3 linked regions of the Kluyveromyces lactis genome follow. The protein of the gene in region 2 interacts with the protein of the main gene of each other region in a pairwise test. Links are inferred from orthologs where the notes say so. Each region holds a gene or a part of one and is shown on either strand. Other genes may lie near its edges.

Evidence for each region.
Region 1: the proteins of SEN1 (region 2) and RNT1 interact in a two-hybrid assay, tested with the Saccharomyces cerevisiae proteins (3 studies listed by BioGRID). The link is inferred for Kluyveromyces lactis from reciprocal best matches to the Saccharomyces cerevisiae genes SEN1 and RNT1.
Region 3: the proteins of SEN1 (region 2) and RAD2 interact in binary tests that used the Saccharomyces cerevisiae proteins (3 or more experiments, as listed by UniProt). The link is inferred for Kluyveromyces lactis from reciprocal best matches to the Saccharomyces cerevisiae genes SEN1 and RAD2.

Annotation. Positions count from the first base shown.
Region 1 is NC_006042.1:2,307,119-2,310,282, reverse strand, and holds RNT1 (ribonuclease III), read right to left. Parts: upstream 1,942-3,164; coding exon 505-1,941; downstream 1-504. Other genes in the region: ISW2 (DNA translocase), read left to right, coding at 1-441; KLLA0_F24794g (uncharacterized protein), read right to left, coding at 2,435-3,164. UniProt on the Saccharomyces cerevisiae protein: DsRNA-specific nuclease that cleaves eukaryotic pre-ribosomal RNA at the U3 snoRNP-dependent A0 site in the 5'-external transcribed spacer (ETS) and in the 3'-ETS. In vitro, cleaves synthetic 5'-ETS RNA A0 site in the absence of snoRNA or other factors.
Region 2 is NC_006038.1:498,185-502,202, forward strand, and holds the start of SEN1 (DNA/RNA helicase SEN1), read right to left. Parts: upstream 2,807-4,018; coding exon 1-2,806. Other genes in the region: DNA-directed RNA polymerase II subunit RPB2, read right to left, coding at 3,506-4,018. UniProt on the Saccharomyces cerevisiae protein: ATP-dependent 5'->3' DNA/RNA helicase required for the expression and maturation of diverse classes of non-protein-coding RNAs like precursor tRNAs, rRNAs and small nuclear (snRNA) and nucleolar (snoRNA) RNAs.
Region 3 is NC_006037.1:821,476-825,705, forward strand, and holds the start of RAD2 (ssDNA endodeoxyribonuclease RAD2), read right to left. Parts: upstream 2,805-4,230; coding exon 1-2,804. Other genes in the region: TNA1 (Tna1p), read left to right, coding at 4,099-4,230. UniProt on the Saccharomyces cerevisiae protein: Single-stranded DNA endonuclease involved in excision repair of DNA damaged with UV light, bulky adducts, or cross-linking agents. Essential for the incision step of excision-repair.

The sequences.
Region 1 (3,164 bases), on a different chromosome or scaffold from region 2:
CTAAAGATACAGGAAACAATTTTGAAGCAGAAGCTTCAGCAATATCAGTATCCCTTAGTAGAATTGAAAATATTATATCCTCCCAACAATACCAGAAGAACTTACAATTCATTAGAAGATATATTTTTACTCGTTACTGTCGGTAACTTGGGTTTGTTTGCCAGTAATCTATATGAAAGAGTCAAGCAGGAAATACTGAAAAGTCCATTGTTCATATTTTCTTGGTTTATTAAAACAAGGACACCTTTGGATATTTCTAAGAGAATAGCCACTCTATTAACACTTGTGCAACGTGAACATGAAGGGGTAGAACACAAAAGAAAACGTAAAACCGTTACTTCTGCTGACGACCAACCAAATGATAGTCACAACCTTAACGCTAACGTGGTGTCTTCACCACCCTCAAAAAGAATACATACTGATAAGCAGTTTATAGATTAGATAGTTTAAGCCTAGAATTTGTATGCATTTATCGTACTCGTTAAGAAAAAATACAACAAAAAACTATTTGAATGCAAAAGATCCATCTGCTAGTAGTTTTAATTTGCCGCGATCATTACTGTGACCTTCGTGTTTCCGCTTCTTGGTATTATCATTGTTTGCCTTAATCACAGATTCAGATTTTGGGAGGGAAGCTCGCAGGCTCACGTATTTCTCTATTAGCTCCTTATTATTTAAGACGTCCTCTGCAGCACGCATTCCTGCTATCTTTATGTTCTTTCCGACACCTCTGCCCAATACTTTACCGCCAGTAATCCTGCATTCCACTATGGCATTTGGGTCAGTAGAGGTTGGTTTGTGGACAGGGTAGTAATGGAGATTTAGCGCTGCATATCCGATCAAAGAGTAAAGGGTTTTCTTGGCGTTTACATCAACTTCTGTCGTATTTTCTAGTGTTATGTCAGAATTTAGTCCCTTTGATATAACAGGTTCTGCCAATTTCGCAAGCCATTTCCTTATTTTTGGAAGGTTTTTCTTACCATTATCTTCTACTAAGCCACCAATGTAAGCTTCAAAAACATCAGCGTATAGCTTTTGTTTTCCATCTTTGTTGTCATCAGGTTTTACATTGTGAGTCTTCAATTCATCTGGAAACTTGTATAGAAAAGACCATTCTTTTAACAGCTCGTTGTTGATCAATCTCATTCTGAGTTGAGAGAGTTGCCCTTCATCAAAATGTGGAAACTTGTTATAAATGATAGTGGTCATTGTTGTATTCAATATGGAATCACCTAAAAACTCCAGTCTTTCATTATGTGATCTGATAATTTCTTGGTCAGTTAAATACAGTTTATCGTTAATCATTGATTTATGAATAAAGACACGAGCCCTGATCACAGGGTTTTTGATTTTCGGCAGTTTCGGAGGCCATTCTTTACCTTTTTTTAGATCAGTCACTGCATTATCTATAACCTCATATCCATCTTCATCATCGTCTTCCTCTTCTTCCTCATCGGTAGCTTTTGAATTTTCGTGAGAATTTATATGTAATGATTTGGTAACATTGGCTGAGAGTAAATCAAGGTTTTCATTTTGTAGTTCAGGTAATATCGGTGTGGAGCTTCCACTTTTGAACTTATCACTGTAATGAATAATATTATTGAATAGCTCTAGTTTACCCAGTTGATACAATGAAGTCAATTCAGCGGCCAACTTAAGCTGGTATCTATCAAAAGATGGGATCAAATCGCTAGACATTGTAGGTAACTGGTCTAGTGCCTGGTGATACTGTTTGATATTTGGTGAGAGTTCAATAACTGTCTTTAGTTGCTTTACTAAATCAGTAATAGAATGCTCCAACTTGATGATTTGTGAATATGTATAGAGGTCAGCAATTCTATTTTCGTCGTTGGAGATAATACGACCGTCTATCATTTCGGAAATCCTTTGGCAGTTCTTGAGGTGCTGAGTAAGAGATTTAGATATCTTGATATAGGTCATCGGTTCATCAGAAGTTCTTTTCTATGCTCCTCTGTAAGAGAAGGTTCACATAGAGCTTTTCAAATGATTGGTATGGTCAGGGTAACTACTTCAGAGAATTGTGACAAGGAAACTAGCACAGACAAGCACCAATAATAATGTGCATAATAATAATAATAGTATTGGCTGTTACTCTGTAATACCACATTCAAATTGGATCATTTACAAACGTCCTGTATAATCGCTTTAGAAGCTATTAGTGTTTTTGCTGTTTCAACCGTTTTCTAACATCTTGGATTTTGCTAAATACCTTCAATTACAAAATGTCTATGTATGAACGGATTGATATAAACAGGGTTGGATTTCAAAGTGGTTAGACTGTTTTGCCGACATTTGTGTGCGATATATATCTTCACTATACAATTCACAAACTTTGTGACGGGTTTATCTTGGAATTGCATGTTAACAAATATAGTTTCCTACAAAACAAAATCACCAGTGATTTTTGATAAGCTTAGTTCTGGGTTTTGTCGTGACCTTTACATGCAACCTTTAAGCACTCTTCCTCATAACCAGGAATGAGAATATAGTCGATTCCATATTGTGCCAACTTGTGATAGCTGGTATTATTCTTGACAAAAATGTCCGGTTCCATAACACCCACGAAGACAGTCTTTATAGCGCCAGTTGTTTGGATTATTCGGTCTACGCATGGCAAGTTACCACTGAGCCTTAGAGAACAAGGTTCCATTGTTGTGTAAATGATGGTTCCATCTGGAAGTTTCGCACCTTCTGATTTTGTGAAGTATTTATCTAATGCACATTGCTCAGCATGAGTATTTCCTGGTAATTCTCTCGAATAACCGGTGGAAAGTATATCAGTTCCGTTGACAAGGAGTGCGCCTACATTAAAGGCAGTTTGAGTTTCACCACAATTTCTTGCCTCATCTATCGCCAACTCCATAAATTTTCTGTGCGGCTCAATCGCCCAGTCAGGGAAGTCCGTTCTGTAACTCCATAATTTTTTTCCATCAGAATCAAGCTCGGTGGATTCGTACCGATAAGCATGAAGCCACAAATCAAGATCATTTGGACCAGGATCTGAATATAGCTCTGTGTCACAAATTTCACATTGCTGACCGAGTAAGACTTCACCAAATGAATCAGGATGCATCCAACTCTCGGCGGACTCAGTCTTGCCGACAAGATCTAAGCTCCCTATAATATCTGAGAAATCTCCTTCG
Region 2 (4,018 bases):
ATCCAGAAGGTTTAGTACCCTTTTTCAGTAATGCTTTTTCTAAGTGATACTTTTCAGATTCTTTAACAACTTCGTTTGTCAAGGCTTTGTTGAAGTAACGGGATCTTTCAAGAAGCTCTTGGCTCTGAGCCGCTGAAAGTTTGTTTGGATATTTTCGAGCTTTTGAAGCATATCTTGCCATATCCAACACTAGCATTTCATCAAATCGAAATTGTTTCTCCTTCGCAAGATCAGAAGCTGATACTATTAACATGACACAAGAGGCAAGAAGCTGTTCATCATTCAACCTCAACCAGTAAAGCATATTTTTGAATGGGCTCATTGGGAATTTGAAAAGATCATCTTCAGTTATATTTCCCTTGACTAAAACATCGGAGAACTCCCTATAAGAACCCATTAGCATATTGCTAACCTCTAGCACATCTCTTGTGAAATTCTCCAATACCACATTTGAATACCTTGAGGTCCATTGAATGGTTTCTAGATAAATCATATCCAAAAATGTCCATGAAGAACGCCAAAAACTGAATAGTTCATCATTTGAATCTGAATCTTTAAACTTCTCAAAATCAGAAAAAATACCGGTGACTGGCTCATTGAAGAGTGAGAGAACGTCCATCATAACTCTTATAGCTCTAGGGCATGGTTCAAAAAATTTTGTTTTCGTTAACTGTCTCAAAACGATGGATATACAATGCAAGCTCGTCGATAAATTACTTTTAAAAAGTTCATGCAAACCTTCCAGACGCCCTTCGACGTTGAAGACCTCATAAAGGATGTTAGTTGTTTCTTGATACAAGTCTGTATCTGAGGAAAAGAGACAGGACCATAGCCCATGGGCGGCTTTCCTGTTCGCAAGAACTCCAATTAATTTTTCAGACGGAAGCTCAGAACATTTCATAACTAGTTGGCGGATAATGTTGATGTATCCACTTGTAATTTTGTTCTGGTTTTCTGCTTCTAATCCTTTAACATTTAATATCATTAATCCGTTGGCGTTAGTCAATGCTGTCATTATATGTAGGACATGTTTAGGTCCATTTGATCCCAGTGACATTAAATTCAAACTGTGGACCAAAGGATTTAAAAAAAACCGCTTCATATCGAGATCTAATATGTGGTGTTTATTGACAGATCCTCCAGTGTACAATTTGAAGGTGGTTTCACATAAATTTAAGATATCATATTCGATACAATGAGATAAGACTTTCATAGCATTGAGTGACAAGGCATCTACCTGCATGCCAGGAAAAACTTTGTCGGGAGCCTGGACAGTATCGCATAGTAGTTGTGATATCTTCAGGTGGTTCACAACCTTCCTGCAGTCAGCCACAGTGAGGAGCTCATTTTGAAGGTCCGAGTTCGTATACAACAATGCTCTCTTCTTGTCATCTATTTCCAACACGTTATTCAATAACTGTAAAGAATAACTCATCAAAAGAAGCTTCGGTAGCGTTTGTAACATCTTGTTACATTCACATATTGTCATAAGAAATCCAGTAGATATCTTCTTCACCATTTGCATCTTTTTGGCAGAAGATAATGAATTGTAAAACGGTATGCACCATGTTATTAAGTCAGAAATTGACCCAGTTAAGGAAAGCCATGTTTCTTTGCCATCACGTAAGATAGGAAAATCTTGTTTCCTCAATAACGTGTTAGCAAAAGTACCCTGAGCAAATATAAGGTCCAATAATGTGTGGAAATTAAATGGTTTCAAGTATAACCAAAAATCCTGGCCAAATTTCTCTAAAAAAAGGCTTAGTACTTTCAACATAACATCCAACGGTCTAGCAGGATCAGGAACGGAGAACCAATTATACCACAAATGAATGATTGAAGGAACATCCATTGTTCCTGCGTTTTTCAAACTTCGGGTGAATTTTGGTACTAGAAAGTGAAGCTCTAAAACTTCCTTCGTCATTAAGCTGAAAAGAGCCGTCAATCTAATCCATGCAATTGCCATGGAGTTTAGGGAGTTGATGTTGTGTTGTTGATCCTTGCCAAATTGCTTACTGATCAAGTAAATATAATGTGTGTTTACTTCCTGTAGAGCTCCCAGAGGAAGATTTTCAACAGTAATTTTATAATTTCGTTCGTATAGCCAATCTAATAGCCCCAGTGCCCATGATATCTGAGCTGGAGTTCCTTCCATCAACATAAAGACAGAGCCTGCCGTTAATGCTGATAGAGAATTATCCGAGGAATACTCTAATAATGGTGATTTTTCCCGTACCAATATATCGAATGCATTGTTGAACAACACCTTCAAACTTTGGGAATGTTTCAATACTCTTGGATACCAGAAGCATTCCGTGAATGCAATTTTTTGTTCATTAGAAAGATCTTTAGATTTGATAGATCCCAATCTTTTAATTAAAGTATCCGATCTCCATCTGCAGATCATTAGATCAAACCCATCGATGTTAGAGTACGCAATGCCTTTGTTCACGATATAACGTTGAATGATCTGATTCTTATAAGAAAAGAATGCCTGGGAACAGTTTGGACACGATGCTAAAATTGGAGAAAACTTATCACAGTACCACTGGATCGCCTGCTGTTCCCGTGGAACGGAGAAAATTATGACCAGGAAACTGATAACAGGACCTAAATCAGGATCGCAGAAGAAATGGTAATTCTTGTCATGTATGAGAGGTCCTACGGTCTCTACCACCTTTGTAACCAACGAAAGTTCTTCAAAATCAGGACCGACCCTATCTGCAAGCGAATCTAGAATTTTATTCTTGAATGGAAGAATAACTGATCTAATTTGAGGATCGATACTAGTTAGATTCATGCTCATCGTTAAAAAGTTGGAAGAATGTTGTTACGCGTATTTCTTCAATTATTTCAATTGTTACAATATTTCAACGTCCAATAGTCAGCAATTAACTGATCTCAAATAATGGTATAAAGTTTAGAGGATAGGTGCCTAAAGAGGTAATAGAGTCTCTTATATGTTGTATCCCTTGCGAATTCAGTTGATGCTAATAAAAGGTGGATATCCAAGTGATAATGCAGCACCAAAAGGTGCGGTCTTTAAATAAGTAATACAGTAGCAGGTAATTAGATTTCCCCTACGCCAGTGAAGTATTACTTCAAGCAGTAAAGATGGTTATTAAATCTCCCAGGATCAAATATGTCACTACTATATGTTGCAGTTAGTATGAATGGTTAAAAATTCTTGAAGCAAGTTATGATTTTCGACTTTTCCAGTTTGATGTGAAAATTGGCGACAGTGTAAGAACGAACAGTGAATTGGGACAAAAGAAAAAGAACAAGACAAGATAGTGTATATAGTTGTTTATGGCAGTTCTAACTACTTACTAAGGGGGTTTCATAATACAATGCTAATTGTTGCTTTTAAATTATTTTCTTTATATTCTACAAAACATTATAAACCAGTACAAATTATTGCTTAATTTTAAGTTTAATTTTATTTTTTACATTACCTTTTTAAAAGACATCGCAAGAGCGATATCATGCATTCAATATATGTTTATTAAAAATCCTTTGAACGGTCAGTGTAAAGACGTGGTGCAATATTCATGGCCATTAATTCTTGGAATAGTAACTTAGCTGCATAAGGAATGTGCACTTGATAAATGTCAATTTTGTTTTTACATGAACGACATTCAAATTGATTGTGCTTCAACTTTGCAACAACTGACATTAACCCACAGATACCGCAAATGTGTACTCTGAATGCATCCGAAGCTTCCATTAATCTTTCCTTCAAGAAGGCGGCGGCACCGTGAGCAATCATACAATCACGTTCCATCTCACCGAATCTTAAACCACCGTCTCTGGATCTACCTTCCACGGGTTGTCTTGTTAGTACTTGCATCGGACCTCTTGCTCTCGCGTGAATTTTATCATCCACCATATGCCTTAATCTTTGGTAGTATGTAGGGCCGAAGAAAATTTGTGCCATCAACTTTTTACCGGTATGACCATTATACATTACTTCGAACCCACGAGATTGATAACCATGCTCACGTAGCAACCTGGATAT
Region 3 (4,230 bases), on a different chromosome or scaffold from region 2:
TCTGGAGACCCCCACACAAATTTAGTCTTATCCGCGTCGACTGTGGGGTGGATATAGGCATCATATACAGCTTCACTGGGGAAGTTGTCATCCAAGATGATTTCATTACTAACCAACCTTTTTCTCAATTGCTTTTGGAAAGCAGTTTCCCCTTCTAGCTTTTGCTTATCAAATTGACCTTCGTTGTACCACTTGGCAAACTCTTTAAGAGATCCGAATTCGGCTAAAATCTCTACTCCCATTACAGGTCCTATACCTCTAAGGCCAGGGGTATAATCACTTCCTAGTAGTTGTGCTAATTGTATCAATTTATCCCTATCAAGACCAAGTTTTTGATCAAACAAATCTAAACTATAATATTCGACATAGTTCTTCTCTTGAAACATATTCTTGTAAACATGAGTACCCCCAAACAAGAAAACATCACTATCATCCGTAATAACACCATCTACTAGTTTCAACTGTAATAAAGTTGCACATTGAGCTTCTGCTTCCATTGGTGCCGTGATGTACGGTATACCAAACCGTGATAAAAGACTCTGAATTTCATGAATCATCTCTATGGTGACTTCATCCGCATCCCTCTTATCCTTCTTCTGCTGCTCAAAGAGTTCATCTTCTAAAAATGCAGTGTTCACCAAGTTTGGATTCAAAGTAGATTTGAAGTGGTTGTAGTCTTCTTGTTCCCTCGTTAGTTGCTCAGCTAGGCGTTCTTCTTCATCTTCATAAAAGTCGTAGTCTAAAATAGGAAGTTGTTCACGAGTAGCTGCAGATTCGGATTCAACCAAGTTATCTGAGTCTGAATCGTTACCTTCAGAAATCCTACTGGAGGTACTGTCTTTTGTGGTTGAAAAACCTTTCCCAGAAGGAGATTTCTGTTCGTTCAAATCTCGTTTAGAGACTTCAATTACGGCATCATCTTCAACTTCATCTTCATTATCATCCCGCTCTAATTGATCTAAGTCTATCAGTTCTGGATGGTGATAGCCAATTCTATTTTTAACCAGCTCCTGTGCAGCTTCACCAGTCAAGATCCCGTACTGATCTTCAGGTCTTACATCACTCTTCTCCCTATCTGCGACGAAAGAGCTGCTCGAATATGGGTTTCTATTGGCGGTGGAGGAGAACCACGCTGGAACTTCCTGAGCCTGTTTCTCTTGAGTATCAGTTGATGTCGGAGCAGTTTCCCCTGGCTCTGATTTTTCGTTGTCTTCAAACGCCTTACCTCTCATACTCAATGAAAAAGAGAATTCCGGTATCTTACTGACAATTGAATCAAGATTTTGCTGGGACACCTTATGGTCAATTATTGGAATGGCACTAGGTTTTTCCACTATCGAAGAAACAGTGTTATCATTCGATGGTCTATGCGCAGCTGAATTAGAAGGCCCGCCTTCAGAATTACTAATAACGGTTGGTTTGAAGTTGACGTCTTCGAACTCTCCATCTGACTCTGATTCCGTGCTTTCGATGTTTACCTCCACCTGTGGTATGATATTTTTTTGAACCGGTAACTCTTTTTGTCTTCTTTGATATTCTGACATCGCTTTTGTCTCTTTCAACAACATCGCATAGTCATCTTCGTTACTATCGTTATCGTCTTCCTTTTCGACATTATTAACGGCAGGATGGTCATTTGTTCCGTCGTCCTCATCTTCGTCGAGTAAATGTGACGTACTAGGTGCAAGGTCAGGTCTCTTATCAAAAAACGATTGACTTCCACCTTGTGTCTTAGTTGTTGATAAGCGAGGCAACAAAGAAGCGTTCATCGAATAATCCAGTTGTTTTTTCTTGGGTTTTGGTTTGGTATCAACTTCTTCCCAATCTAGCTGGCTCGCATCCTCTTCTTCGTCTTCATCTAACTTTATTGCCTTAGTGGATTCTGACCCATCGTTACCCGTAAGACTTAGAGCCCATCCGTTATCTGTACGTATCAAGGCATATTTCCGATCCCTTTGTCCAGATACTCTGTTGACGACTTCGTCGTCTAATTTTGAAGCACCGCCATCGTGCATTCCAGTTACATTCATTAATTTCTGTGTAAAGAAGTTCCTTCTTTTAACCATTTCAATCTGGAACTTTGAAAACTCCATACTATCTGAGAAGACATGTTCTAACTGTTCCTTTGTATAACCCAATCTCAATCTGGATTTCAACCTTAAGGCTGAAAGAATCAAATACTGAGTTGATTTCGGTAATTCATCGAATTCTTTTGAAGCTGGATTGATGGAATCCAAATCTATACCATCTAAGTCATCGATTTGTTCCATAACGGTCTTATAATCGTCAGTGTCAGTAATTCTTAGATCATCTTTTTCATATGAGAACCCTTTAATCTCCGGTAAATGGTACTCATCGTGAGGATAAAAAAACGATCCAGTCTCTGAGCCTGTCTGGCCATTTTCATCCGGTGACTGCTTCTTCTTTTTTGGTGAAGACTCTTTATCTGTCTGTGACTGGTGGATTTGCCTTGCAAGTAACCGTCTAGCAGTAGCATTGGCAGTATCTCTTTTCCCCTGTCTTCTCTCTTTCCTCTCACGGATTGTATTTAGCTTCAACACAGGAACACCGCCATCAAAGACGAACACAGGTTTAATCCCGTAGTATAACAACTTACATATTCTTCTGAAAAAACCTATGATATGGGCGTTTCTCAAGGCATCACCTTCCTTATTTCTCATCGCTTTAAGAAACTGATAAATCCAAATGGAGGCATCGACTGCCATTCTCCTCTCATTGAGGGACTCTAACCGAACCGGTTTAGCCACAGGCGACACTATATCCCATAATGAATGAACACCCATGGATTATTGACTGGAGCTGGTGCATGTGGAGGTCGCCAGTCAGTACCTGCTGTAAGATGAGTTGAAGACTGCAACAGTTCTTTACACTTAATGCATAAAGGCAAATGTATGGCTTATAAATAGAGACTAATTTGTGTCCGGGTAATGAATAATGCTAATATCACGTGAGACCCGCCAACCCCAAAGTCAAAAAAAATTATATCAGAAGCGTAACTAAGCCCCTCAAGCGGCAGTAAGTAAAACCATACTTCACAGCATTATCTGATAGACTCCGGGAGCTTCAAATGCTGTTCCCCTTGAAAATGGGATACTAATTCCATCTATGTCGCGCGTCAGCGTCAGTTTTAATTTTTGAAAATTTTTTTTTTCGAAAAATTAATTTGAAAAACAAACTGAAAATTTGAATGAACAAAGAAAACGGCAACAATCAGGTGCTGACGCTAGACAAGGGAAGATGTTCAACAGAGAAGACGGACCTGGCGCAGTACGTTACTGGTACTGAAACTTAGCGTACTACACAATGTAAAGTCGACCATTCTTCTGATACCACTGGAAAGATTTAAAAGATTTTTTTAAGTGGAGAACTACTTATCACAAGTCATACCTCTATGAAAGCCGAGTTCTTAGAGGTCACTGTTTTTTCCCGAAACTTAACAGATTTTTCTCGGTTCTGGATGAATGTTAGAAACACTGATGTGTGGTATCTGTAGTGGCTGGCTAATACTGCTCCCGATTTCTTCTGGGTGTCCCTGTAGGGAAAGGATATCGTTTAGCAAAAAAAAAAAGAGGAAGTTACTTACCGATTTCCGGACCAAGATACAAAGGGCTAGAATTGTTAGCATAATTATCATTATATTTTTATATGTAGAGATATATGCCAGTGAATGACTTGAGGTAACTTACAGAGGGGTAGTTGCAATCCGGGATACCTTATCTGTCTCAGACCCAACCAGAGTCATTATATCATCTGGGAACTAAAAAAACAAATTCACAAGATTGGGCACGATATCTATTGTAGCACATAAAACGTATAAATACGAGGTCTATTCTCCATCTGCGTCCGATTCAAAATATATGACCAGACAAACTTCTAATATAAATGTATATAAAGTACCCATAATTAATATTCTCTCATTTCCAGTTTTTTTTTCCTTTTCCTTTGAAATTTTCATTTCTTTTCAATTCAAGAGAAATATTAAAAGTTGAGCCATCATTCCATTAAAGACTTAATTAAACCTTTAAACATTTACAAGCTTTAAACCGGTATTCAGAATAATAAAGGAAACAGTAAGTAATGGCAGTTATTTCAGTGCGTGGGCTTGATGCCGTCGTGTCTAAGGATGAATCGTTGGGGGAGGAAGTTGTAGAGGGGAATATTGATGCTTGTAAGGAATCAGTGAGGTCTCATGAGCATGATGACAATGCC